Lepisosteus oculatus: one gene and its partners. The protein of the gene in region 1 interacts with the protein of each later gene in a biochemical or structural test. Links are inferred from orthologs where the notes say so. Each region holds a gene or a part of one and is shown in the gene's direction. Other genes may lie near its edges.

The links.
Region 2: the proteins of esr1 (region 1) and phb2b form a complex in vitro, tested with the Homo sapiens proteins (3 studies listed by BioGRID). The link is inferred for Lepisosteus oculatus from reciprocal best matches to the Homo sapiens genes ESR1 and PHB2.
Region 3: the proteins of esr1 (region 1) and nrip1a form a complex in vitro, tested with the Homo sapiens proteins (4 studies listed by BioGRID, with this or other methods). The link is inferred for Lepisosteus oculatus from reciprocal best matches to the Homo sapiens genes ESR1 and NRIP1.
Region 4: the proteins of esr1 (region 1) and ahr1a form a complex in vitro, tested with the Homo sapiens proteins (4 studies listed by BioGRID, with this or other methods). The link is inferred for Lepisosteus oculatus from reciprocal best matches to the Homo sapiens genes ESR1 and AHR.

What each region holds. Positions count from the first base shown.
Region 1 is NC_090697.1:48,519,758-48,527,728, forward strand, and holds the start of esr1 (estrogen receptor), read left to right. Parts: upstream 1-4,949; 5' UTR 4,950-5,222; coding exon 5,223-5,677; intron 5,678-7,971.
Region 2 is NC_090708.1:1,899,042-1,905,966, forward strand, and holds the start of phb2b (prohibitin-2b), read left to right. Parts: upstream 1-3,920; 5' UTR 3,921-4,007; coding exon 4,008-4,028; intron 4,029-6,785; coding exon 6,786-6,915; intron 6,916-6,925. Other genes in the region: uncharacterized protein, read right to left, coding at 863-1,135, 1,292-1,471, 1,608-1,771, 1,915-2,197.
Region 3 is NC_090700.1:317,815-325,055, reverse strand, and holds the start of nrip1a (nuclear receptor-interacting protein 1), read left to right. Parts: upstream 1-4,227; 5' UTR 4,228-4,542; intron 4,543-4,551; exon of another isoform or gene 4,552-4,696; intron 4,697-7,241. UniProt on the Homo sapiens protein: Modulates transcriptional activation by steroid receptors such as NR3C1, NR3C2 and ESR1. Also modulates transcriptional repression by nuclear hormone receptors.
Region 4 is NC_090705.1:2,282,552-2,290,541, reverse strand, and holds the start of ahr1a (aryl hydrocarbon receptor 1a), read left to right. Parts: upstream 1-4,987; 5' UTR 4,988-5,736; coding exon 5,737-5,798; intron 5,799-7,990. UniProt on the Homo sapiens protein: Ligand-activated transcription factor that enables cells to adapt to changing conditions by sensing compounds from the environment, diet, microbiome and cellular metabolism, and which plays important roles in development, immunity and cancer.

The sequences.
Region 1 (7,971 bases):
AAAACAAGTTTTTTTGTGTGGTCATTTAAGTTTTTTTTAAGGTTTCTCAAGCTAATTATTTGAAAAATCATTCTAAAAGGATAAAGGATGATCATGGGGTTAAAGTAATTAAAAAGGATTATTAAAGTGTTTTTCTATATGTAATGTATATAGGTATAATAGATATAATAGATATAATACATAAAGCATTCAACTCTGACAAAAAATCAGTGGTCAACAATGTTTGCTAGTCCAAATGAATTACTATTTATATTTTCTTTTCACACATTGTAACACTAAAAAACAGTTTTATATTATAATTATAAAGTTCATAGATTACCTACTCCCTGTATAAACAAGGTGACATCTTAAAAAAGTTCTAGTTTCATGTAAAATACTTTGTTTAAAATGAAACTTATGAATTATAGCTGCAACACATTTGCAAAGATATTAACAGGAAAATGACAACACAAAATAATAGCATGTAGTACATTGAAATTTTATTGAAGAGTCATGATACAGGCCAATTCATGATACTGTTTAACATTTGTGTTCAACAGGGATGATAAACTGGAAGTCTACTGTGAAAGTCATAGGTTAGGAGCATGCATGGTCACCACTGGAAACCAGTACGAGTTGTACTTCATGAGGTTGCAAATGCTAGCCCATTCCTCTCATTGAGCATGGATAATTGTGTGCCATTTAAGTGCCACTCTAGTTTGTTTGGTAGTTAGCAAATTGATCCAAGGATCTCAAGTCATTTCTTGATAAAAACCAGGGTATCGACTTCAACCACATGGCTGGGTAGCTTGTTCCCTAAACCCACAACCCTTTGGGTAAGAAAATGCTACCTCTTTTCAATCATAAGAGTAATCTCACACAGTTTCCATTTTCCATTTGAGTCCTCTGGTTTACATTTCTCTGTTTTTATGAAGAACTCTTCTGGGATGAATTTGCCAATACATTTCAGGATTTTGAATACTGGTATCAGGTCTTCCCATAGTCCTCTCTGTTCAAGACTTTAAAGCCCAAGAATGAATTTAGTTGCTCTTTTCTCACTTCTAGTGTATTATGCGATTTTAAGATAACATCCCTTGATTAGATGCAATTAACTATCCTAAAATTCTATTTTTCCTTTTTTATTTCTTCCTCGAATTGTCTTGAGCATGTCATTTGTCAACATAAACACCTAAGTATTCTTCATATGTTATTTTTTTATTTACAGTTCATCATCATAAACAACCTCATCAGCCAGAAATGTTTGCCAGTCTTTTGATTTATCTATTTTTTAATACTACTATATTTAGTTATATACAAACTTCACTAGTTTGATAACTATAGGAGAATCTACACCAGTGATATAAATAAGGGAGAATAGCTTTCGTAGTACAGATCCTGTGGTACTCCACTGATTATATTACCCCAGTTTGAGCATTTGTCCCTTGTCTCTGTTTTCTATTAACAAATTCTCAGTTCAACCACACACATTTTCCTCAATGCCTACCACTTGTATTTTGAAAATTATCTTTTGTAAAGAAGTTAATCAAAAGCTTTTGAAACTCTAACAAAATGTTTTGTATAATCTGTGTGTTAGTGTGTATCAGTTATTGTTTTTTCTTGTTTAAAGAACTCTAACATGTAAGCTAAGCAAGACCTGCCTTTTCTAAATCCATCTTGATTATCCTTTAAGACCTTGTTCTCATAGAAGTTATCCTCTCGTTTAGTTCTAGTAATTGTTTCTATAACCTTACATTTAATAGTAGTCAGACATACTAGTCTATAATTAGTTGGTTCAGTTTTGACACTCTTTTTATTGAATGGGCACTACATTACCAATTCTCCAGTCTAACATCACTAACTTTCTCTGAAAGGACTTTTGGAAGAAGCTTATAATGGCATAGGGATAACATCTCTTGTTTCCTTGAGTACCGCTGGAGTTATTAATCTTGAGTGGTTAGAGCATTTTTGATATTAACTCTTCTTAATGAAGAACTTTGTCTTTCTGCTGCCCGAGGAATGTTGACTTCTTCCTCGTTTAGTACATAATTTCCTTTTGATTGCCTAGAAGTTCCATTATTTTCTCAGATACATTTTACTTAATCCTTTGGTTTTTGTGCTGGTGTAGTACTGAAAGAACCTTTTACTGAAAATGTTTCTTTCCATCTCTCTCATCAGCTCTTATATCCTTTTATATCTGGGCTTTCAATTCATTTTATTCCTTTTTTAAAGAGATTATCTTGTTTTTTAATCATTTGTGTCTTGGTTTATGATGAAATATACTCTTACAGTATATTTATTCTGTGCTTCAGGTGGAATCTGTTCAAACTGTTACTATCCATTCCATACCCATCCTGTTCTTACAGTACATACTAAGATGTGTCTCATTCTTTCCTGAAATTGTAAACTCTGTATTTCAGAGTAAATGTCAAATGTTAATTTCCTTTCATTTCCTAATGCCATTAGGTATGGTTTCCTCACCTCTGTTCACCTCATTCTGTTTGATAACACAAGATCAATATGAATGTTTTCTCTCGTCGGTGCTCCTACAAACTGAGTAATCAAGCAGTCATTAACTAAGTCTATTATTTCAGTTTCTCATATATAGATTTTTCCAATTTACATGGGAAAAGTTGAAGTCTCCCATTAAAATGTTCTTGATTTACAAATAAATTCTTAATTTCATTACACAATGTTGAATTATATTTACCATCTGGATTTTTTATATATATATTTATATATATTAATTTTATATATATATACCATCTGGTCAATAGCATAGTCTTAACACTACCCTGTTAGAATGTTTTTATGTGCCTGACACATAGATTTAGAGACCCTAGATTCCTCTTGGTTTAGTTCCTGAACTTGAATCCACTGTTTGAACAAATTCTTGCCATTTCCAAACAGCACACATAGGCAACTACCAGGGAATCTAAATACCCAAACACTCCTCTGGGTCTGTTTAATCTTCCACCCGTTACAATTTGTTTAACATTTCTTATGGTAAAACTTTTCCATTTACAGCAAACTAAAAAAAAAGTAAGAAATAAAAAAACACATACGGAAACTACACTTTTTACAAAAGGTAAAATGAGGTCATACAAATCGCATGTACAACACGCCTCTCATGTTTTTCCTGCTGTATGTAATCACTAAGTTCACTTTTATCTCCATCATTTTTGGCAAGCCACATATCTGCAGTTCCAATTACATCATAATTACCTGTTCATTTGGTCGCATCTGTCTCATGTATTTTTTCCAACACTGCTTACATTGACTGTATGTTCAAATATTTAATTGACTTATCCTTTGTTTTGTTTTTCCCTTTTGGTTCTGTAACCTCTCTGATATCTTCCTTGTGGATTTTATTGGCTTCTTACCCATTCTAGCCTCTTTAAAATGTTTATGACTTTCTTTTTTTGGTATACGTGCAAGAAATAATTAAAATATGTTCTCTTAAAAAGCAAGCCACATTAGTTGATTTCTGTGTTTCTGTGTTTATCTTTCTTGCTTTTTCTTGACAGTCAAGGTTAAATCATCTCATCTCCCTACCCATCTCTCACTAATGAGGTGATTAATTGCTTAATTAGGTGTTTATGTAACAGTCAAAGTCGTTCAAAAATATAGCAGTTGGTTATGACTGATAAATTAGTTAAAAATACCAAAAATACTTAAGGGTTGTGGGAGTATGGAACAAGCTACCGAGCTATGTTGCTGATGTCCATCCCCAGACTTCTTTCAAGAAATATCTGGATGAGATCCTTGCATTAATTAATTACTAACTACCAAATGAGTCAAATTGCACCCATTCATTTGTAACTTCTCACTTGCTCTAAATCAATATCTAACATTTTTAAATTGTATTTACAAATATGTGCAATTGAGTGATGTTATTTTTGATACTCAGTATATTTCATAGAATTACCACATTTTTAAATGTATTTTCTAAAACCGAATCTCAACAAGGATGAAACAATTAACAACAAATGCAAAAAGAGAGATAAAAAGTGCAGAAGAGCTTGCACACAAGAAAGTCTTACCTGCCACATTCAAGACCACAGTAGTGATGTCATGGTTTACTAAAATTAGAGAACCAAAATTAAAGTTACCTGGGAGTGTCCTGGTAATATTTAAAAGTATTAAGTGGGAATTCCTTTTAACAGCAAACTGAAAAAAGATAATTTAGTATTTGCTCAAGAGAGCACCCCTTGGTGCTGATAAAAAATACCTCATTAGTTGTGCTGAACCAAATCCTCATTCACCTGTTAACGAAGGTACCTTCCTCTGAGACTCATGAACCTGAATAACACATGGATTTCAGAGTATATTCTGTACTTTACAACAATTTTTATGTTTTGTTGCTTTACTGTTATTCCTGTGGCGACCATTGATGTCTTACAATTGCAAAGTGAATTTCAGATTTGTAGATTAATATTCTGCCCAGTAAATTGTATTTGTAATCTTTTAAAAATATTTGTAAAATCAGAAGCAGTAACCACTTGGACCACCACAGATGTGAAAAGCTGTTACCATGGCGTCATTAGTGCGTGGCAAACTCACTCCTCAGCACCAGGTTAAGCTGAGGAGTGAGTTTTGACTTCCAGGAGTTCGTGTTGAACGTAAACAGTGATTCCTAGACTCACTTGTGGCCTCCAGAAGGAACATAATCACCTTGAATCCCAGGTTGAATCCAGGCCATTTATGCTCCACATATTGTCCTTGTTGTATGATTTAGTAAAATATTCATGTAATACTTACCTCACTAAATTACGTGTGCCTGAAGTGATCATTTAAACCAATGCCAGTGTAATTCAGCCTTGACTGGCCTTATGCCAGTGTCATTGATATGAATCTATGCTGACATGGAGTAAAAAGTTACAATTGATTTATTTTCTTCTTCTTTTTGTGAAATATCTCACTCCAGGTTTCCTCGCTCACTCCACCTACCAGTTAAAAACTATAAAAAGGTTTGTGAATGTGTCGGAGGGGTTGGGGTGTAGGGGGAGGAAAATCTTTTCATAGCAACGAGAGCGCTCACACTCACACAGACACACGCTCACTCTCTCTCTCAGACGCACACATATAAGAAAACAAAAATGATCTCTGGCAGGCTCCGGCTGTGCACTCTGCTTTCGTCTTGTAAAGAGTGAGGAGGATCACGTTCTTCTGAAAGTGCTAGGTGGGAGCTGGGAGGAAAAGAAAAAAAGAAAACAAACCATGCTAATTATCTGTTTGCTCTGATCATGGCTAGGCCGCCTTACACCAAGCCCCCCGGATTAGTTCTGCTGCACAAGATCGAAACGAGAGAGCTGGAAGCATTCAGCAGCTCACCTGTCAAGCTGGCCCCAGAGAGAGCCTTGGGCGAGATGTACCTGGAGGACAACAGGAACAGCACAGCTGTCAACTACCTGGATGGCACCTATGAGTTCACCACGGCCCCCGCTGCCACCCCCATCTACAACCCCACCACCGTGAGCTACCACTCGGCACCTGTGGACACTCATGGCTCTGCCTCCGATGCCAATCTGCATTCCCTGGGCAGCGTGCCCACGAGCCCCCTGGTGTTTGTGCCTTCCAACCCTCGGCTTTCCCCTTTTGTCCATCACCCCCACCACCACAGCCAGCAATTGCCCTACTACCTGGAGAGTGACCAGGGCAGCTACAGGCTGAGGGAAGCTGCCACCACCCCTCTTTTCAGGTAAGCTGCCTTCGGTTTGTTTTTCAGCTTCCAGATCGCAGCTGCCCCTGTTCTGTATTCTCAAACTGCTCATGCTTTCAAACAACCAGATCCACCCTCAATGGGCGCTCCAGACAACTTTAAAGAAAAGTACGATTAGTTCAGTCGAGTCGTGTTTCACGTTCGAGCCGACTCCTGTAATTTGTTCTCTGGCTGTAAGGGTCAATAAAATCAGAAAGGGACTCAAGGGTGTCTGGGAACTAGTGTCAGTATTTGTCATGTAGGAACATGACGGGTTACAACAGGAGTAATACTCCAGTTCTTCACTGAGATTCGAGAGGATTTTGTTAAGAGCGCCAAAAAATTACAGAAGTAGTTTTGAAACAGGCAAGAGAACTAAGAGATAAAAAACAAACATCTAGTTAAAAGCCAAGAATTCAAATTATCAGTGTCTGCAGCAGTCTCAGTTCATAAAGGGAAGAAAAACATGACCATGAGTTCGTTTTGTATTTGTTGTTGCCTTCTAATATAAGTTTTTGAAGATTTATTATTTTAGCCGAATAGTCCCAGATGAGATTTGCTGTGGTCACTGTGAAGGAGTTTCCCACTCATATAATGAAACAGATTTTGAAATACTGGCTCCTTTGACAAATTGTTTTTTTAAGCTTCACACTGATGTCTGTCTCTTTCTTGTGGATTGTTTCATATAATCCAGGGAATTTGTATGATTACATCATTCTAAAGTTCAAGGATTAGTGCAGTGCAATTATACAGCCAGGAAGATAAATCAAGAATAAGTTTTGCTCATGTGCTCTAATTTTCCCTGGATATTATCAGAACACTGAACCTCACTCACAATCACGTTTAGATGCAGTAGTGTTTTAGTGTACTCTTTTTATGGATACCTTTATTTTATTTGGTATTAGTGACCTAAAAAGGAAAATATTAAAATAGTTCACTAATTTCTCACTAAGACTCAATAATTATTTGTGGTATTAAATCACTCTGGTAACAGGACTGTAAGGGAACCCAAGGCATGTTCTTTATCTGAGTTTTTTGCTTTAAAATAAATAGCACTTTCACATTAAGCATTACTGTAAAGGTTTCATTTTTTCCTAATAAATATGGCGAAAAACAATGTAATCTATAAGATTGCTAATTGCATGAACTTCTAACTACATAAAAGCTATAGTTTGCAAAAAACAACACAGCTCATTTTACTTTCAGCAATGCCACTTAAGGTAGCATGTGGTGTGCATCACTTGAATACTTCACAGCTGCTTCAATAGTTTATATAATCAGACATTCAACAAAAGATGTTGGATGCTTTAGCATTATTAGACGTGTACTGAATTTCAGTTCCAATTTGTACAGTATTATGAAACAAGAAAGTGGTCTAGAATCTGAAGAGATCTGCCTTTCGGTTAGGGTTAGGGTTAGGGTCTCTTCAGATTCTAAGGCCTAGTTTTATTAATAATAATAATAATTGCTTACACTTATATAGCGCTTTTCTGGACACTCCACTCAAAGAGCTTTACAGGTAATGGGGACTCCCCTCCACCACCACTGTGCATTTAACAAAAGATGTTGGATCATCCACCTGGATGATGCGACGGCAGCCCTAGTGCGCCAGAACACTCACCCCACATCAGCTATCAGTGGGGAGGAGAACAGAGTAATGAAGCCAATTCAGAGATGGGGATTATTAGGAGGCCATGATTGGTAAGGGCCAATGGGAATTTGGCCAGGACGCTGGGTTTACACCCCTACTCTTTTCGAGAAATGCCCTGGGATTTTTTTAATGACCACAGAGAATCAGGACCTTGGTTTTGTATCTCATCCGAAGGACGGCGGCTGTTTACAGTATAGTATCCCCGTCACTATACTGGGGCATTAGGACCCACATGGACCGCAGGGCGAGCGCCCCCTGCTGGCCCCACTAACACCTCTTCCCAGGAGGTCTCCCATCCAGGTACTGACCAGGCTCACACCTGCTTAGCTTCAGTGGGTTGCCAGTTGTGAGTTGCAGAGTGATATGGCTGCTGGCTTGCAGAGTGATATGTCCTTTTTTTCCCAGAAGGCAAACTGTGGACAAATAGCCACTCTAATTAATTTAACATGGAAAGAAATATTCGCACACAGTTTGCCTGAAAGGAAAAAAAGGACCTGCTTGCCTGGTTTAAAGGCACAGTGGCCTTGGTCACAACACAATTGAACAAAATTGTTCAATTCTTCCATACTTGTGGTACAGATATCAGCCTTTTATATTAAAACGCTGCCCGACCTATAAGATTTAGCTTTTTTGTGTTTTGTGA
Region 2 (6,925 bases), on another chromosome or scaffold:
AAGGTAGATATGGAAATGCTTATGAATGAGGTTTCAAAATGTAGACGGTTCAGAAAATTGTATCCTCACAGCTCCTGTATCCAGACAGAATGAGTACCTTTACCACAGAATTTCTGTCCTGCTCTTACAGAACTTCGTTTTTCGAATTTTTACACAATTCGGATGTCTTGTGTTTTTTGCTGCAATACTTGGCGTGTATACATTTCTAATCCCATTGAAAGAAAAAACGTTTGAGTGATGAGTGCCCTCTTGTGGAAGCTTCAATGATCAACATTTCAGCATTATTAGGAGGCCATGACTGGTGAAGGCCTGGGGGACATTTGGCCAGGACACCGGGGTTACACCCCTACTCTTTTCGAGTAAACACCCCTGGATTTTTTAATGACCACAAAGTCAGGACCTCAGTTTTATGTATCGTCTGAAGGACAGTGCCTTTTTACACTCTAGTGCCTCTGTCACTGTACTGGGGCATTAGGACCCACACAGACTGCAGGGTGAGCGCCCCCTGCTGGCCCCACTAACACCTCTTCCAGCACCAGGTTGAGCTTTCCCAGGAGGTCTCCCGTCCAGGTAGTGGCCAGGCTCACACTGCTGGACTGCAGTGGGCTGCCATCTGGGAGCTGCGGGGTGACCGAGCAGCTGGGCTGAATGGACCCCACCTTCAGACCGGTCTCTGAGAGCGAGAGGCCACTTATAAAGAGTCTGGAGCGCAGACTGTGGCCTTGTGAGAGAACCTGCGGGTGTGAGAGAGCTGTGTCAGCAGCCAGAGCCAAACAGGGACTACACGTTCAGTTTGTGCAGAAATAAATGTTTATTTTCATGTGCTTCCTGTGGCAGCCTGTGGGGGGCGCTCTCCCTGCGCTCACAGCTTGCCCTCCCTTTCCAGGCTCGGGGCCTCGGAGCTGGGCCCGGCACTTCCGGCGGGGGCAGATTCCGCCCCCTCGGAGACGCTGGCGTCCTCGGAGTCCGGCTCCGGCTCGCCGGTCCGGACCGCCGCCCCCTGCTCCTTTTCCTCGTCTTTCTCCCAGCCCAGCGGCAGCGAGGGGACGCCGGGGGGCTGCCAGTCGAAGGCGAAGGATCCAAACATGGTGACCGGGCTGCTGGAGCTGGAGCGGCACAGGAACGGCTGGGATTCCTGGGAAACAGGGGGAAGGCCAGGAGAGACAGGTCAGGATTGGGAATACAGAACCGACCGACTGTTCTGGACTGGGTGTCTCGGCTCGGCCGTGCGCAGGAGGAGCTGGGAGGTTATGCACTGTTAGACCCAGGAGAGGTTCCGAAGGGGCTTTACTTTGTCAGAGGGTCCTGGCGCTGGGGCGGGGTCACCAACACGGGCCGGCGCCGTCTCCGGTCTGGTCCGTCTCCCCTTGGCCTGGGTGCCCACGGATCGTGGGGCCCCCGGGGGTCTCTCGTCCGCAGGCAGCGGCTCCGGGGGAGACTCTGGGGGAGACTCCGGGGGAGACTCGGGGGGCTGTGAGTTCAGAGACAGGACAGAGGAGTTGAGGAGCGTGGGGTCGGACAGGGATCGCATCCAGGCCCGAACCCTCCATTTTCAGGAGTCAGGAGTGGGATCTGGGGACTCGGCTGAGGCGGCAGGACCGACTCACCACTGTCGGGCCCCCGACGGGCTCTGGGCCGGCGTCCTCGGTCCGGTCCCCGTATTCGCCGGGCCGGACCCCCATCACTTCCTCTTCCTCGGCCCCGTCACCCCCATCTTCCTCGGGGGACCCCGGGACGGGGAGGGCGCTGGGGGGTGCCTCTGCGTCGGGGTCTGGAATTCAGCACGAGAGCAGAATGTCACTGACACGGAGGACAGAGAGAGGCTCCTGGGTAAACAAACACTGTAGCCAGGAGCCTTGGAGGAGCACAGGAGGGGGGCTGAGAGTCTTCAGGCTAATAGGAGAACCTCCTTACCGGTCGAAGTGGGGGTGGCAGGCGTGGGGGGCGCTGTGGCCGAGGTGTCGTCCTTGCGGGTGCGGGATTTGGGCTTCTCTACGGGAGAGACACCTCCGCAACAGACAAACACCGTCATCAGGTTCAGGAGGAACATAGGGAAATCTCCCTCCTCCTTCTCCTTGGCTCTTCTCCTGAGGAATTTCCTCTTCCTCCCCCTGGCGAATCTGGGCTCACTCGGGGGGGGGGGGTCTGGTGGGGTGGCAGCCAGTGGCTTGCCTGGGTCACTGTGTCGTTGACCCATAGGCAGAAGACAACACACAAATCGTATTCACGAATCAGAGTGCGATCAACTGCAACCGGTTTCTACAGGAGGCCCCTTTTATACCCCGGCGACTGGCGAGGTGGCGGGGTCTATGTGACATCCTGTATAAGAAAATTGTGATGTCCTCCCGTTGCTAGGCGGTAAAGGGATGCACTCCAGCACGTCACTAAGGGATTGTGATGTCATCGCGGCTTCCGCGCACTGCCGCTAGGCATCCTGGGATAGGGGAACACTAATTAGCTTAGCCGTTTTATAAGGCAAAAAAACGCGCAACTGATTAAAAAAGTGGTTCCTGATTCTCTGTGTATTCAATCAAAATATGAAATTTGTTTAGCTTTATTAAGTCCCATTCACCAAGCGCAGTCGTTTTTAAGCATTTAATGTGCAAATCAATGAACTGCGTCCGGTTTTCCAGCGCAGCTCTTAGGCATTAAGAGTTAGTTGAATATAGCGTTACGTTTGTCAACTCATCTGTTTACCGATCTGCGTAACATCGGGGTCGTTTTCAGAGCACCGGGGCGCTGAGAAGCGCTGCTGTGGCTGAGAGGCCAGTGAGGCTCAGTGCGGGTCACTGCGGGTCTCTCTCAAGACGCTGTAAACACAACTGTATGGGCTGACATCCAGAGTGATGTGTTTTCGCCGCTTAAACCAAAAACAAAAGTCTCTCGTTTCGCTCAATATATACAGTATATGAGAACTGGAAAAGGCATGCCCTGAAATACCCCGTCTTGTATTATTTAACGTCCAGTGAAACCTGAGGGGAAGAAGAGCTCTTTGTTTTGCTCCAGCAGGTCTCAGTTCTTAAAGCCGAAAACGTGAGAAATAAACTGGGGACGGCGCCCCAGAAACACTGGGAGGGTCGTTTGGGAAGCTACGACCAGCGGCACCAATCTTTAACATTGCTTACAGCCCAGAGACCCCGGGTCTTCTAGGTAACAGATGCCGACGTTTGTAAAAATAAAATGTGGGAGAGTCAGTTCCGCCGTTTGCTGGAAGCTTCCAAAATCGTCGAGAGTTTGCGGCGAGAAACACAGTGTTTCACCTTCGCGCTCACCGCCAGACTCCCAGCAGCAGGTCTTGTCCTGAAAACGGGGCAAAAGGCTACAAAATCGGTTCCGTCCGAATTCAAACTGCAGGAGCATCATCTGTCGTCCCAGCGTTACCGTGGGTTCAGGAGTCCGCACGAACCAGGGGAAACTACGGAGAAGCCGTGGGCGGGAGGCAGCTCTTTACACAAAGCGTGGTGGGAGTGTGGAACAAGCTGCGATCTTTGGATCAATAAGCAACAAACTATCAAATTAATCTGGTCTGGTTTTAAGTGTTCAAACCTCTATTAGGCCTTATTTTCCTTATTTTTGGGGGGTGGTTTCAGTGGACAAACACCATCCAGGTGGGGCTGCACATTGGTGGTGGTGGAGGGGATCCCCGTTACCTGTAAAGCGCTTTGAGTGGAGTGTCCAGAAAAGCGCTATAAAAGTGTAAGCAATTATTATTATTATTATTATTATTATTCATACAATTTTTGAAAAGTTATATATATTATAGTTAAGCTTATATTCGCTACAGTTAACTAGTCTATGGAAGTAACACGGGTCATCTGAATGGGATTACGTTTCGGTTTGTGCGGATTACTGAAAATCACTTCGTTCGCGAGTACGATAGAAGAAAAATAACGTCATCACGTGTCTTCTGTGGTGAACTACATTTCCCAGAGGGCCATTCTTAGGGAGCCGGAAGTGCAGTGAGTTGACCTTGCAGCGAGGCAGAGCGCAACACAGAAGCAGGCAGCATGGCGAATAAGGAGCCCAGTGTGAGTATGGAAATTACACACGTATTTGGAAATATTGCCGATTAAAACACATTGCCGTGGAGTTAGTGCTTTCCCGTGAGATAGTTACATTCTTGTTTTCGTAAAGACCGTGGCGCCAAGCTCGGTTTGATGTCATTCTGTCTGAGGCTTCATCTTTTTTTTTTTGATTAACGTGAATATGGTTTTGTTTTCCCAGAATAAACCTACCAAATAATTCAAGACGTGTGTTCCCCGAGCTTTAAGTCTATGCGTGGAATTGCAGAATAAAGTAATACTGCTGTAAATGCTGTAGAGGGATTGCTTTTTGTGCCTGGACTAACGAGGCCGTGTTAGACTTCATATTGTTGGTCACAAGAGACAGCGGATCTTGGCCGCGTACGATATGCAGGGGACTGGATTGTTTTATTTTTCAAAGCTAGTGTGTAGCATTCTGATTAACAGATATGTGATCTGAAGAGCTCGGCGCTGTAGCAACCGGTGCAATACGGCGCGTCTCGCTGGAGTCTGTGGGGGTCGGTGACATTGCATCACGCCGTCTGTAATTAGACCCTTCAGACTTCCTCTGCCTTTGACTTATCCGTGTGTCCTCAAGGAACCTGGTGTAAACGTGTTGGTTATTAACGTACCGCCGCGGCCCCAAGACAAGGAATGTTCTGGATGTAGTAAATATGGAGTCCAGCCTTGTCCGAAGAAGTCAGCGCGGCGATGCCCGGTGCCGCCACTAGGGGGAGCGCTCGCCCACAGCGGCACCTCAGCCGCTGAGTTTCATAACCTGAGCGAATGTTATTCTTGCGATGAAACTTGCGCGGTATCTGGAAGCACCGGATTTCCCACCTGTGTTTTATTTTCAAACCCAGAACGAGCCGGTTCGGAACAGACGCGCACGGCTCTGTGTCACCAGGCTGGCTGCTCCCGGGCGAGACCCGGAGGAACCGTCTTGCAATAAATATTTGTCGTGGCCGCAAATATGGGCACCCCGTGCACATTTTTTTCAAATAATGCTACACTTCTTCCAGACAAATGCTGAAATTAAAAATGTATTTCTTATACATTGTATTGCTTTGGTTTGCAGTGAAACAAACAAAAAAAGCTGAATTATGTACTAAGTACTAAGCTTATTCCACAAGAAATCCTAAAATGGCCCGGACAGTATTATTGGCACCTTCTACAAGCGTTTAGAAATAATTCTATTTCAAGCCGGTGATTCTCCTTTACTTTGGAATTGAACTCAGCTGTGGTGATTTGCAGGTGCCTGCAATATAAAAATCACTAGTTCAGCCAGTCAGAATAGAGAAAAGGACTCTTTCTCCTGTTTTGTGTCACTGTGTGGACCACAATGAGCATGGAGAAAAGAAAGACATTCTTTTGTAGCGTGGACAATCTCAAGGCTACAAGTCCGTCTCCAGAGACCTTGATGTTCCTGTTTCCACTGTATGTAATGTTATCAAGAAGTTTAAGAGAAAACTTGATCGAAGATTGTAGCGAAGGGTTGTTCGAATGGTGGAGAAAGCAGCTCGATCAGCTGCCACACAGATTCAAGCTGACCTTCAGAGCCGAGGTGCGACAGTCTCAACACGCACCCCCCCTCGCCAGCTCAGTGACCCAGGAGGACCCCGCTGCTGAGAGAGAGACATCAGGAAGCCTGACTGCAATTTGCCAAAATCCTCCTGAGAGAATGTCCTGTGGACAGATGAGACCGAACTAGAGCTTTTTGGTAAAGCACACCGCCTCTATGTTTACAGAAAACGAAATGAAGCCTTCAAGGAAAAGAACACCTTCCCTACAGTGAAACATGGAGGAGGTTCAGGGATGTTGTGTGGTCGCCTTGCTGCCACTGGCGCTGGATGCCTTGAGCGTGTGCAAGGCGTCTTGAGATCAGGAGAACACCGGGGCATTCCGGAGCTCAATGTCATACCCAGAGTCAGAAAGCTGGGTCTCCGTCGAAGGTCATAGGTCTTCCAGCTCAACGATGACACCGGACACTTCAAAAAGCACTCGGGAAAGGGGCAGGACAAAACACTGGACTGTTCTGGAGGGACCAGCAATGAGTCCAGATCTAAACCCGTTGGAAACCTGTGGAGAGATCTGACAACAGCAGCTGGGAGAGGGCACCCTTCACACCTGGCAGGCCTGGAGCAGGTGGCACGAGAAGGGTGGGCCAGACTGCCAGTACAGAGGTGCAGGAAGCTCATCGGTGGCCATAGGAGGCGCTTGATTGCAGATATTGTGACACAAGGCTGTGCTACCAAATATTGAGTCTGGGCCGTCAATAATTTTGTCAATGCAATGCCGTTTCTTTTTATTTTCTGATTTAAAAGGATAGATTAAGTCCTGAATCAAAAACAACGGTTCTGTAATAGTAACAGTGAAATAAAGAACTGTGGAGACCACATAAGTTGGTCAGTTGCAACTTATTTTTAGAGAAAACTGTGAGTTATTTGCCAAAAGTGCAAGGGTGCCGATGTTTTTGGCCACGACTGTACCTTGTCTCTAGAAATGAAGTGCAGCATCTTAGCGGTGGTAGTTTTTAACGCAGGACTAAATCCAATCAAAGGCTGGTGGTCTGTTTTCAGAAAGGTGCGGCGTGGTGTGTAAAAGCCGAAAGGGCTCCGTCTTCCCACACGGTCCTGACAAGAGATCCTCAGGGATGGAGTTGACCCCCCCCGGTGTCAGACTTGACTCCCCCCCCTTGCCTGTGGGGGCAGTAGGACGCCAGACAGGCGTGCTGGCTAAGCCTGTGCTCTCTTTGCCCCGCAGAGGTTTGTGCAGCAGCTCAGGGACATGGCCAGCCGCATGTCCTCGGGCTCCAGGGGAGCCGGCATGGGCCTCAAGCTGCTGCTGGGAGCCGGGGCTCTGGCCTACGGGGTCAAAGAGGCCACATACACAGGTGCGTATGG
Region 3 (7,241 bases), on another chromosome or scaffold:
TTTGGCAAATTCTGTGTAGTTTAATCAAAGAGAATTAATCTGCCACTTAGCATAATTAAATTGGATTCCAAAAGCTACATGATGTTCAAGTATACAACTATGTTCTCTTCTCTAGTGGTAAAAAAAACTCCTATGGAGGGAAAATCAAAATGCATTTTTGTTCTTTTGTTTACATCTCAGCTAACAGTCAGTCGGGTATCCTCATGTCTGCACATGTCTAAATATGCCTACAAGGATCAATCTCACCATTTGTGTTGTGGGTGATGCTGATATTCTCATGCTTGTATTATCTGAGGGTAAAAAAACATTAATGTCTTGTTTAACAATATGCGGCAGAGCTCAAACACAGCACTCTTACAGATGACAATAATGAGATTCTAACTCAGAACTTGTGTTGTCACATGCTTATCAGCTGTTTGAAATGGTACACTTCCAATGAACGTGTTTTCCCAGGGATGTAGGATGTTCTATCCCCTAAATTGGACGAAGATAAACAGGTGCTAAATGTGTGGATGTATATTTCTGAGATTTTCACTCTGAAATGCACTGTAAGATATAAATTAATGCAAACTTTTAAAATGGGGACAAAGCGATAGCTCCAGTATAAGACAATAAAACAATATCTACGGTTTCTCCAACAATACACTATACAAAAAGTGATGAATAATTCACTAACTCTGTGTATATATCAAGAAAAGTTTCTCTTCAATTCTTAATGCATTGTAGTAAAGGAAACTAAATTATTCATTGGGACAAATACGCCCGAGTTCACTATGTTCAGAATAAATAGTTCAGGAAAGAGTGCTGAAGAGAAGGGCTATATTTTTCCATGGACATTGCTCTCACCCCTCAGGTCTCAGATTAGCCTGACAGTTACTCTATGGACAGCTCTCTCTCCACAGCTCCCAGCCTGACCTGGACAGTGCACACAGTGATTAGGACAGCAGTGTGGGATTTAAAGGCTGTGGCTCATAAAGCTTCAGGGGCCCTTTACAAGAACTCTTAAAGTGGTTTTAATAGGGTGTTAACTTAATGGCCTACTAAAATCTCACCAGGTTTTATTTAATTTCTTTTTTTGGCAAATTATGAAAAAAAAGTTATTCTGCTTCCTTTTTTTCCTATGTGTGATTTTTAAGAATTGGGAATATTTAATAATTTCCTTTACCCACCCATCTGTTATCAGAAAGTCATTTCTTCCTGATAAAGCAACTCTAAGAAGCATGGGTGTGAAGTGGGAGTGTGACACCAGTCCATCACTGAGCATGCACTTGAACTCATGCACACACGCAAACACAAACTCAACTCACACACACGTACACACAAATTCAACTCACACACACATGCGCACACACACAAACTCAACTCACACGCACACACACAAACTCAACTCATGCACACACGCACAAACTCAACTCACACACACATGCACACACACAAACTCAATTAACACACACACACACAAATTCAACTCACACACACACGCACACACACAAACACAACTCATGCACACATGAACACAAACTCAACTCATGCACACATGAACACAAACTCAACTCATGAACACATGCACACACACACATGCACACGCACACAAACTCAACTCACACACAAGGACACATGCACACAAACTTAACTCATGCACACATGCACACGTGCACAAAGTCAACTCACTCACACATGCACATGCACACAAACTCAACTCACACACAAGCACACATGCACACAAACTAAACTCATGCACACATGCACACACACAATTTAGTGGCCTAAATTTCTTCTCAGTAAGTCCTGAAATGTAAACACCAGGAGATAAGAAAGGGGCTCTGGGAATTACCTGCAAACTCCACACAGAGGGCACTCATATCCACCCAGGACTGTGGAGCAACAGCTTCGAGAAAAACAAGTTAACAATCTTTTTGTAGCACAAGTCGACTGCTTTATTTATTTTAAAACGTGTGCTCAAATTATTTAAAAATGTGTGTACTTTATGATTACCATATGATTACCATTAGTCATATTTGTTAGAATTTGCCATGTATCATATTTAAGAAAATTAAAAATGATCATCCTTGAGAAAGAGTTGCTTAATTAACCCTGTTGGATTTCCTCGCAGTGTGGAAAATTACTTGTTTTTTTTTTACACACCAAATGTTGAAAACCATGCTCAATCAGTTGCTCCATGCAGGATTTATATTGATCCCATTTACACATTATTATGAAACACTATTATCATTTTATAAAATTCTCCATATTAGCTACTACAAATTACTCTTGTAGAACACGTGGTGTTTTCAGTCAAGCTCACTGGGTCGAGCACATTCACTTATTTTACATAATTCCCCTGGATGATGCAGACTCACAGTGTCCAGAAGTCTGTCTGCCTGGAACTGCCACAAGGCAAAGTTTTAATTTCCAACCAGCTCCCTGTGAATCCCTAGCAGGAAGGCAGGGGGAAGGGTAATGAAGTCGTGGTGCAGATCTGGTGTCACCTCACAGGGTATTTCAGGTCAAAGTTCAAGAAAGAAAGGTCAGGAGTGTACAAGTTTCTATGGCCAGATATAGGTTAAACTACTGATGATATGCATTTAACAGACACAGGAAAGTCATTTAGGATTTGGTTTTGAATTTTATCAACAAAAACTGAAAATGAAATAAAAATTGAGCTTGTTTTAATTTGAATTCTTCTTTTAAAAATGAGGTTCATATGTACTTTTAAAATAAAATCTAAATCGTGTTATCAATATATTGTATCCTACATACTTTACATTTAATTAATTTTCTATTGTTTTAATTCTATGAGATCAACATTGGAGCATTTTTTTCTGGAAAAAATAAAATGTTTTGTCATGTGTCATTTTTACCAAATAACTCTACAAACGTCCCTCGCACCTCAGGATTAACACAGAATGCTGTTTGGGTGGCCTTCGACCTCACTGTTAAGGTCATATTCTCCAAGCACATAACAATTATTTGCATTTTGTATTTTTACGTGTACATTATATTGCAATACGATATAACTGTATAGTGTATATACACTATACATTGAAAACATCACTCCCCTCCTTAGACAGAAAATGCTGATTTCAGCTCACCAAGAGACAAAAAATCCCTGATCGTGACAGTCACGAACGTTTGGATGAGTTAACAGAGATAAAAATTAAAAAAAGTATAAATATAATAGGCTGATTACAACAAAGGCGTTTAACGCTTTTATTACATGATTAGGATCAGCTCAAGGATTTACCATCTCAATATAAAAACACATTTTTGCCATGATTTCAACTAACCTTACTTTTATAGGAGTCATACCTTGAGTTCTAATTCTTGACATGGGGTCGCAGTGCCTTACCGTTTAGTTGCTATTGCTACGACACGTTTGTTCATACATTTCGGGGGGTAAAACCGCGGGTTTCGGAACAGGGTCGTGAGATCAGGCCCTGCACGCAGAAACTCAAAGTTGCTCTATTGGCGAAATGAGAGCGCCGCAGGGGTGGGAGCTCTGGGGGTCTCAGCGGGGAGCAGGAAATGTGTTGCCCTGCGAGAAAAGTGCAGGTATCTGGGGACGGGTTGGGTACATGAGGATTCAACGCTTCTCATTCACCAGAGAACTAGGAAAAACCACCAGCAGCTAACAAGCTCCCAGCATGAGTCACTTAAGGGACTGGAGGAGCCTTGGCCTAAACCAGCTCTAACACGAGGTGTTATACCATCAGCAGTGCTGTTCAAAGGGCTGCCAGTTTTCTTCATCATCTACCTTCCAGATCAGTGAGGGCTTTTTTCATTTCTATTTAAGTCAGCCTGTATTTGGGGGAGTAGTAAAACAAACGTCTGATTTAACACAACGACAAAACCATATTTATTTTATTATCCGCAAACAAACATCTATATTGTTAAACGAAACTGTATGATATTTTAACGTATGTACTTTTCTTAAATGGTTCATGTCATGGTAACGTCATTTTTGGAGTATTAAAAGGCACAAAGAATTGCAACCACTGACACTTTGCCACGTACCCTACACTAAACAAATACTCGACGATCCTAGTGGAAAGTTATTTGCTTCGAACTGATAATTTCTCTACAGAAATCTGTTGTTAGCTTCTCCTTGTGTCCTTTCTTGGGAAATTTCGATCAATCCGAAGCAACAGAAGCTGTGAAGTTCAGTGGCTGAGGAGCAGTGGCGTCGCTGCGCCTTTAAGCGCTGTCGGCGCTGGGGGAGGAGAGAGCCTGTGTTGCAGACTGCTGGGGGATTCCTAGTATAAACACTTCAGCCAGACTCGACTGCGGAGTGCGGAGCTCGATTGCTACAAATTGACCTAGAGGCGTTTTATTTTTCCCAGAGAATTGTTATTATATAGGTTTTCGTAGGAAAACGAATGCTTATATGTGGCCTGTATCCTTTGCTTTTTTATTTTTTTTTCGTTCCTTGTATATAGTCACGGATATCAAGTGAGCCGAAATAAAGCAGGTTGCAAAAGGATTTCCCACGTTTCCAGAGACGCGACTCATGTCTTTGCTGGAGTCCTGTCCATAACCAGGCAGGTACGTGTATATCTGGCGGAACTGCAAGGCGCTAGCACCGGAGATAGGGCCGTGCTGCTGATCTGTGACAGTATGAATTTATCTACATTAACACGCATTTGTGTAAACATTGGAATATTTATTTTTTCGAAAAGCTAGGTTCTAGCACAGTTGGGTACGTATATCGACATTAAAGTGCTGCCTAAAATGGAGCTTTAGTGATCGGTGAGCGGTGCCTCACGTCACTGGTGTAGAAACGTAGTTTCCATTTTGTTTTATTTTATCAGCTGAATGCAACATTAGTGCCTCTGAAGGTCCGTCGCATCTCCGCTGTGGTCGCGGGTTGAATTGCGGAGTCGTGTTCATCGTTGTGGCTCGGTGTGCGGGTGGAGTTAGTTTACTAAATGCTCATTTTCAACAGAATAAAATCTCGCATTTTCTGCCCTTTTCTTTTTGATGTCTTTAATTTTTGCATGTTTTATGCTTTAATGTTGAAATACTTAATAGCTTCCCAATGGAACATTGACGAGGCGTCTAATAACATCGGGTTCAACGTGGCCTTTAAAGACAAACACTTTTTAGCAAGCTGTTTATCGTAGCTTCATGAAATGGGAGACTATGGTAGCGCACGCATAGCAGGACTGCAATTCAATAGTTAACTTGGTGCTGTAAGAGGTGGATCATATGGTTTCGATCCAGAATAGAGAAGTTCCTTCTGTAATTATACACTGGCACACGTGGCCATCAGACGTAACGTTATGTTTTGCAGCAGAAAAACAAAATTTAGTTGATAAGATTGGAATTCAGATAGTAATGTTAAACATGTACTACTTTGCGAACAGTGGTTCTGTCTCTGCCTGTAAAAGTACCGTTTTAGGTTAGCTCTGTAGGCGCTGTTGAAATTTTAGGAAGTCTGTAGTAACCCATTGGAAAATCTACAGGGTTACTAATTATCAGAAATTTAACTTGGTGTCATAAACTGAAACGGACAGCAGCCCACGTGCACAACCACAAACTAGAGAAAACACCATAATAGTTTTCTTAATTGTAATGAAAATATACTCAAAATGTCAATTCTAATTTTTGCTTTTTTTTTGCTTAATTGTTTACGGAAATCTTAACATCTTTTCGTTTACTAAGGACCTTTAAAGAGTTCTTACAGGGCTGCGATTATACTTTTCATCCACAAAAGACTTATTTTTTTAAACATCTTCAGTATGATTAGGGCCTAATACGGAATTATTTTTCAGACCGTTTGCGACCATTTCATAGCCTGTGTGTGCTCTTCTGGACTGATAGACCTTCATCATCACTGGGGAAGCTGTTTGATCCCTGAGATCTTCACAGTTCAAGATGTGTTTATTGGGAGCGCCGTTAGTTTGGTTTTCTTTACATCACAACAGCAGACATTATCATTAATTTGTGACTGGGTCATTTCCAGTTTGTTAAAATACAGCGTGTGAGCTTGCTAGTTGTGTTTTCACAGAATTTAGAATTTAGATAGTTGCTTGTATATCAAGTCCCTTTCAGGAGGGGGTGCTCTTTAGTTAATGGGGAGCTTCTTGGTTATTGCGATACCAACAAGGCATCTTTCAAAGTTGTGGGGATACACATACTTCGTGCAGAATGACTGAGACTTGGCAACTAGGAACTCGCACACGATATAGTAAGTGCAATGGATACTACTGGATTGAAGTTGGATTTTTCTGCTGAATACCTTTCGTTAGAAGCAGGGGCTTCAGAACCATGTCCTATTGCGCTCATTGGTATCCGATTGTACAGGATTTCTTAATTCACTTGTATAGATTTGACATGAAAAATACTTTTACTGTGAGCTGCTCAGAATGTAGTGTTGATTATTTAATGCATTTTGTTGTAGGACCTATTTATCGTGTTGTAAATGAACACATGCTATTCACATTTCTTACTATTTTGTGAAGTCTTTGATAATAGAAAATTAAAAAAATTAAAAACTCTGGTCAAGTTTGGTTTAAAAGTTATGTTTTGTCCATGGTATACTTAAAATTGTATGAACAATGAAGTGGTCATGTTTTTGGAATAGGGTAGGTTTTTCATCAGATTTGAGATTGTTCTTTATATAAAACATTTTACATAGGTGTTTTGGGGGATCACATGCATACATTTGTGGCTTTCAGAATAAGATAATTAATCCTTATTTTTTGCATTTTGATTTGTTGAATTTGTTTTGAATGGATTCCTGCAAACTTGCAGAATTTTAAGTTTTGTGCTTTGGATGCAGATCCTGTATATATTTTCTAATGAAGAAATCTGAATGCTTTGTTAGATTTGTTGGATAATTTAAAAGCTTATTATATGTTAAGAAATTCACTAACCTTTTCTCTGGATTGGAGGAAATCCAATAGGTTTTTTGCAGTGTTTATAAAACTTTCATTCGGTTCTGCAGAACAAAATCTAAACCTCATCTTGTCATTAAAAATGTTTATTCTTGCTTTGTACATGGAATCAGAATTGACTGTTTGAAGAAAAAAGTTAAATATTTATGGATTTGGCTTTAGGTAGGTTTAGTATTGTTATATTAACTTTTTCTGTTTCTGATCAATGTTTTGGGTTGAAAGGCCAAAGGTCTAAGTCGGAAAGGTTGTAAAGTCAGATGCAGAGCCACACAGAGGGTAACTCCTCTTTTATTTGTTCAGGTGCTCACTGATGTCCTTTGAACCTCCATTTCAGAATGAATGGAT
Region 4 (7,990 bases), on another chromosome or scaffold:
ACAGTACTGTTCAGAGTGCTGTGTCACCTCTGGGCTAGTAGGCAGTTCCCTGATTTCCCTGAAATGTGTCTTATTATTTCAACATTCAAGTCTGGCTTCCTCATACAGATTTAGAAATGTTTACACTAGGGTATCAGCTAGGTATTATTAACTAGACAGTGCTTAAGCACCATATCGATTAAGATGTGGGATATCCAGTCTCCTATTTTTCATGATCATTAACTCCTCAGAGGCTGTTCTCCCTTCTCTTTTCAAGAGTGGTGTGATTATGGAATTCACATACTGACATGTTTTTTTTAAAGTGAGCATTGCCTTCATTTGTCCAAGCAATATGAGCGTTTGGGCACTTCTGTACCTACTGTACAGAAAAGATCTGCTGTTTTTGCAGAAAAGCTACAAAATGTGGTTTCAGTGCACAGGCAACATCCATGCGAGAGATTCCCAGATGAGAATATATGCTGTGTCAGGTCATTCCCTGCTTTCATTGAAAATGTTTAAGGCTCAGCGTTAGCCTGGTGTACTGCAGCAGTGATTTGTAAGTGTGTACTGCCAAATGATCTAAATTTTTTTCAGTTTTAATTTGGGATGAGCCACCACAAAATGTCCTTATAAATGCCAGTGGTGTGTTGGTACATCCTTTGAAGCGAACAGTATTAAACTAAAGAATAAATATGTACTTAAACCCAGGGTATTAAATGAATCTACCAAACCCAATTAATTGTAGATCATGGATGAAAACAGACAAAGAAATCAGATTACTATAATCTGGATGTCAAATTGGGATCCATCCACACGATAAACTCTTTTTAAACAATCTTACAGCACAAGTTAACATTTTTCATGAAATAAAGGTCGTCATGTTTGACAAAGCCAAACATGATATTTCCCAACTGCTTGCTTCATCGGGAGTCAACAGGAGAGCACCTCCACTCTATGCCAACTTGATTTCTGACCCTGGTTTGTGGATTTCTGGTCCATCACCGAAGTGCGTGGCCCGACTCCAGTTCTTTGGGCAGAGGTCACCAGGCAGGAAGAAATTATCGGAATGTACACAGGCCCCACGGCCATAAGGGAAATAGATGTGCTTGTGGTCCGATTCCTTGCATAACAGTGTAACAGAAAGATCCAAAATGTCCAAAATGACCTGGGTGCCCCAAAGCTCTCTCTCAATGGATGTGAAACTTTGCCCCATTTTTGCCGGATCCAGGCAGCGTCTGGGTGTCACGATGCTGTACAGTGCACTTGCTCACAGGGGTATATAAGAAGGGAGAACACTACAAAATCTTTTTGCACTCTTTTCCTGATCTTTGTGTAATTTTGTGCACCTGTATTCATTAAATTTTACCACAGAAAAGGGTTTGAATATTTATCCAATCTTAGCTTTTCTATTTTTCTTTTATATTAATGATCTTTGTGTTTTTTTTTCTTTGTATTTTTTTATGTGTGAGGCACATTGTGTATATACTATAACAAATATTTATCGCAATTCCAAAGTGTCGTTTCTGCACGATTTAAAGCAACAAAATATAGAAACTGCAAGGGTCTGAATACTTTTGCAGGGAAAATTGTAAATGTCGAAGACATGCACATAGGAAATGACATAACAAAACCGAAGTTTTATACAAATGTATTTGATTGAATTCCTTACATTTATGTGTCTAGGATCGTTCTGACTGTCAATGAGACATTCCATTTTTAACACCATAATTGTGGGTTTAAATGAGACCATGACGCAATATTTTGCAGCCAGAAAACAGACAAAATACAAATTCCCTGTTTTATTCTGAGCTTTCAGGCCTTGGAGTTAGACTCATGGGTATTTAACCAAGCTGCTGCTAGTCGGGCAATGCTAAATAACCATATTACACACAGAAATATATTTAGCTATTGTAAAAGTTTCAAATGTCCAAAGTTCAAAGCCAATTTTTTATAACCCTGGCTCGTCCAGAGACAAAGAAATTCATTATGGCAGTGTATGGCTCCAATTTCACATGAATCTTTATGAGCTTTAGGAACAGGGACGCATGAGTCATGGGAAAATTGCTCGTTATTTTCTTTAAACAAGACAAGTTGTTTGCAATTATTCCTGATAAAATGTTTCCTGCAACACTACAGAAACAAATTAACGACTGTTTTGTTCACTTACAGTGGTCTGCTTTGCCCCCAGCATTATTCCAAATTGTAGAATTCAATTAGGAATTTCAAAATGCAATCAGTTGTCTCGGTCAGATATTGGATTACACTTAAATGTGGTTCATAAAACATTGAAAAAAACTACCAGGAGGTTTCTTAATGATGTTGCATTGTACAAGCTAATGAATGTAAGTTCTAACAAATGCTGCACATTACCAGTGAACTGTATGGCATCTTCATAATGATAGCCCTCCTCATTCAGCATTTCAAGAAAATGGTTTGAAAGAAGAAGATGAAATGAGAGATCAGCTTGTTATTGCATGTTCATTTTCTTTTGCGTCTCTCGTTTCAAATATAAAATTAGGGCAGCACGATGTAGTCCGTAGCATCGCTGCCTCACAGCACTGGGGCCCTGCGGTCGATTCCTGAGCTGCCATCTGTGTGGAGTTTGCATGTTCTCTTCATGTTCATGTGGAACGTGTAGAAAACACAAACATTTACGGTTTTATGAACAGAATGCGTATTTTTTGGGAAAGCATTTAACAGTGGCAGTTTTTAAATAATAATAATAATAATAATAATAATAATAATAATAATTGCTTACATTTATATAGCGCTTTTCTGGACACTCCACTCAAAGCGCTTTACAGGTCATGGGGATCCCCTCCAGCACCCCCAGTGTGCAGCCCCACCTGGATGATGCTCCAGAACGCTCCCCCCACACTAGCTCTCAGTGGGGAGGAGAGCAGCGTGATGAAGCCCGTTCAGACGGGAACAGGAAGCCACGAGTTGCAGGGCAATATGGCTGCTATATTGTTTCTTATTTAAATTTGCTGAGAATGCAATAGATATGTTTGGCGGGCTAAGTTTAATTTAGTGGTTGACACAAAGGATATGAAACCAGGAGCTTCCTGGTTCAGCTCCAGAGCCACCCAGTGATATCTGAAAGCACGCACGTACTGTAGGTCCTGTGACTTGTTTTGTTATTGTGGCCATTTTGTTTCATTTTACGATTTTAGATGTCTTGACAGAAATTATTTTTTTTAATCTTAAATATTTTTCTCTTTGAAGAACATAACATAGAGTACAGTACAGCTCTTTCATAATGTACAATATTTTTTGCTTTCATGCTATGGTCTTTATCCAGTACAGTGTCACAGGGGAGCCCATCCCAGCAAGGGACAGGCACAAGGCAGGGTGCACCCTGGACAGCACGCCGGTCGGTCCATCACAGAGCAGACAGAGACACACACCCACGCGGGTCCATCACAGAGCAGACACAGAGACACACACCCACGCCGGTCCATCACAGTGCAGACACAGAGACACACACCCATGTGGGTCCATCACAGAGCAGACACAGAGACACACACCCACGCCGGTCCATCACAGAGCAGACACAGAGACACACACCCACGCCGGTCCATCACAGAGCAGACACAGGGACACACACCCACACAGCAGGGCCACTTTTCCCAGAAGCCAATTCAACTTTGGACTAGTAGCCAATTAGCCTTTGGACTGTGGGAGGACACCAGAGCACCTGGACATTAGATCATATGGACTCCACACAGGCAGCACCCCAGGCCCCAGCACTGTGGGGCAGCAGTGGTAACCACTGCATCATCACGTCGACCTTACAGGACTTCACGAATAAGTTAAATATGTTGAACTTTATAGATTGACGGCAACACACAGATGACCGGTTTGTGTCTCTGTGAAAGATATCGTTGTGCCGTGTTTTAATTGAGAGCTCTTGGGTATTTTGTCAGAAAAACACACTGGAGCTGATGAAATAACGCGGATCTGTTTAGAAACTGGATATGCTATTGACGCAGCAGCAATCTATCAGAGCCGTACAGCAAGAGACAGGGGCACCGTCTCTCAGTCTCTCAGCTATGTGGGGGCGTTCTGGCCCATTATTAAGTGTAAATTGAATATACATCTGTTACGATCCGATTTCACAGCCTGTCGGGGCCAATTTAAACGCAGGTAACATAAACTAAAGCACACATTTATCCAAATATAGCGCACATATCATCACCAGCTGAGGTAAATTGAGAAACTAAAGACTAAAGGGGAAAGCCTCGAATTTATAGGGCATATGCACCAAGTTATTATATTTCCCCAGCGTAAAAAAAATATTTAAATAAAGTAAATAAAATTAGAACACCTGACTTTCTCAATCCGCGATTCCTCTGGCACTTCAATGATCTAATTAGGTATGCAAAACAACTCCCTGTATTGCTGGAGCGATAAAAATAATATATCCACAGAAATAATCTAAGCAATCAGTTCCTTCACATTAGATTTGAATCTGGTTTAATCCTGCTAATCCTATATTGTTTCCTTTTAATACCGTACAGTACGAGAAAAATGACGTCAATTCGTAGACGTGCGGGTATTAAGCGTCAATGCACGCTTTTTAATACTTGGGGAAATTGCAGCACTGACAGATAGACAGACGATCAAACCACATTTACGAAAAAAAAAATACAGATGATTCTATTATGATCAGAATGAACCCACCACAGCGCCCACGCCACTCTTGTATGACCTTTTGTTGGTATCTACAGTTTTATTTCTGCTTCAATTGGGATTTGCAGTTCGTGATTTTTCTGTCACCGCAAAATTACAACCGTATCGCAGCATGCAGTTTTCCTCGAATTGGTAAACGCTGCCTGCTAATCTAAACCGCGCAGTTTACCGGCAGGCTGCGTTTCCCTGCCGCGACCTCACCAAGATGGCCGCCGCGCCGGGACACCCGCCTCCCACGCCCATGCCCCGCCCCCCGACGTCCAGGCGTGCGTCAGCGTCATCGGGGCCGGGACGCAATGCTTGGGCGTGTGTAACCTGGGTCCGTCCAGCTCGCAAAAAGCGACATTGATTCGCGCACAGGGGGGAAGGAGAGAGGGAGAGACCAGTCTGCTGGCAGGGAGGAGGGGACGCAGGAACCCGAAGCAGCAGCAGCGTGCGGATTCAGAGAGTCGGCCCGATCCTTCGGAGCAAGAACAGGAGAAGGGAGGAGAGGGGGAGGGGAGGAAAGCTCAGGTGGTGCCCCTGTCTCGAGACACCTGGCCGCGGGAGAGCGCCCGGCAGCCGTCACGTGCGGGAGAGGGGAGCGCGCGTGGAGAGGAGAGAGCGGCTCGAGCTGGGGGGCGCGAGGAGCCCGGGCGCGTCAGTTGCGCGGTTACAGCCCGTCTCGGTTGCGTCAGGCGCTCCGGCGAGCACCAAGTTCACGGTCTTACTGCGGTGACCTTTTTCTCTTTTCCTTTTTCCGTCGCTGGAGGAGGAGGACGACGACGACAGGAGGGAGGTTTGACAGGGTTTCCCGCGACGGGACATGGTTCTTAGCAGAAAATCGCCCCTCTTGATCGCCACCTCGATCCTGTCGAGGACACCCTGCTTATTTTTGTGAAAGGCGAAGTGCCGTCGTCGTCGTTGTTGGTTGTCATTGATTTTTTTATTTTTTTTTGGAGGGGAGGAGGGAGGGATTGTGGGATCTATAACCTTGATACCAACGCCACCAGCAGCAGCGGCAGCGGCGACAGCGATAAGGGCCGTGAAGCGAAAGGGAATTTCGTGTCCTGCCGAGAGACCAGGATGAGCAACAGTACGAGCAGCATTTACGCGAGTCGGAAGAGGAGAAAGCCCGTGCAGAAGAGGTAGGACCCTCCGCAAGCACGCCTATGCATCCGAAAGAAAGAAAGAAAGAACCCCCCCCCCCCCCAAAACGATCTTCCAAACACGTCGGACGGTCTTGCCGGCTTTTCTTTTCAAATAGGTGCGCGTCTCGCGTGTTTGATTCGTGTTGCGGCAGCCGGAGGTCTCCGTGGCGTTGCTCGCTCGGAGATTAGGAGGATTTTTTTCTTTTCGTTTTTTTTATCCGGGGGGGGTGAAATACTTATGTGTTGTTGTTGTTGTCGTTGTAGCAAAGTAGAACCCCCCCCCCCCCCAGCAAACCCAAAGCCTCCTTAACGTTTCGCATTGGTCCGGGAGGCCGGAGACGCCGCCGCCGCAGCCCTGCGGCCGGAGTGGCCTTTACGCAGCCGGTGCGACAGGCCTGGAGACGCCGTGTGTCTGTTCGTGAGGGGTCGGGGCGCAACACCTGCAGGACCGCCGTGTCCTCCAGCCGGGCAGGGGAGGGGGGGGGGATGTGAAATGGGAGAGATGGTATTCGGACCCCTGGCGGCCGGTGACGCACCCAGCCCGTCTGTGCTAGCATCTGGAACCGTTCGCGGCTTTGCTCGCCCACTTCGCCCTGGCGGGGTCCGTGCGGAGGACAGGCGCCCTGAAGCCGTGCCCTGCCCGCCCGCCCTGGGACACGGCTCTGCCCCTGGCCGTGCACAAGCCCCATCCGTGCCCCGGGCTGGGCGGATGCACGGCCTCGGTCCGGTCGCTTTCCGCTAAGCCTGCTGGCTCGGCACTGATCCACGGAGACCCGCACAGGCCGGGCGACGGTCCCCGCCTCGGAGCGGCGACAGGACGGCGTGTCTGGTGTGCACGGCGAGACAGACCCCCTCCAGTTCCCGGTGCCACGCTTTCCGCGCTTTTGCCGTCTGCTTGCATGTACATGCTGTAGATATCCGACTTGCATCGGGCTTAGAGCTGTGCAGACAGTGGCGAGCAGAGACCTGGAAAGCTCATCAACGCCTCCTAATGACGCAGCTAAATGGTCGGATGAAGTCGCCCGGAGCTCGGCTTGCACTGGAAAGCCCAAATTGTATCCCGACTTTTGCAGGGCTTGAGTTCCCCCAAAAAGTAACCGAATGCTGGCCATCTCCAGAGCTATTAAAATATTCATGTGGAAAGATCAGGCCTGGGAGGAATATTTGGTGCACTTCACCTTTCTTCATAGCTGCAGGGCAGCCAGCACCAGCATTGTCTAGTGCCGGTGTGCGGCGGGGTGGGAACAGAGTTACCGACGCGTGTGGATTCACATGAGAAAGGGATACACATATGAATATGATGATGTGACACGTTCTGCGGCATCTGCTGTTCTGCACCCGAGGGGTTGCGGAGACGTGTTATCCGCGGCTTGAACGCATTTCCACAAGTCGGTTTAGCAAAACCTTAAATCGGTTCAGAAATGAGTCGAACGCAACTCATCCGTGCCCACGGTGCCCTTTTATTAGCATTAGCATTAGGGAAAGGGAAGGCATCGCAGATCCCTGCATATTATGATTGATGAGAAATACAGCGCTTTACTTGGGCTCTCTTAGAGAACAGTCAAACTCTTAACACGGGCGAGACATTAAAGCTTGAAACATACTTTTGGAGTTGTGCTCATCGCTCATTAGTGGGATTGAATGTTAAGTTACATTCAGCGTTCTTTGACGTACCTGAAACTCTAACCCATAGATTAAACCACAACCTCAACCCAAAGCCTCTCTTTCAAACACCAAAAGATTTTTTTAAGATTAGGTTTTTTTTTTTAAAAAAAACGGTACAAATGATTCAGATTCCTTTCATATGGCCAGTGAAATCTTGGCTCTATCCGGGCAGTGTAGCCTGTTTGGAATAGTTTGGCCCAAATGAAAACTTTAACACCCCCGTGAGTCACAGATTCTAAAATGAGACCTTTTCTGCTGGATGGGCCTCTTGCCGGTGCCTTGTGCAGTTTTTAAAAGGGTAGAGTCCCTATTGTTTAGACGGCATCAAAGCTATTTTGGTAGAAGAGGACAAGTCAAGCAATGCGCTGCTTTCCATAACTCCATTAAGCAGCAGGGTTTTAAGAATGAATCAAAGGGCTTGTTGATAAGTCAAAATAGTGCACAGAATGTGCCATTCTGTGCCTGAGAGTACGTGACCTGTTTGTTTACAGCACTTCCACATTAAGCACTTAGAGAGAGAGACC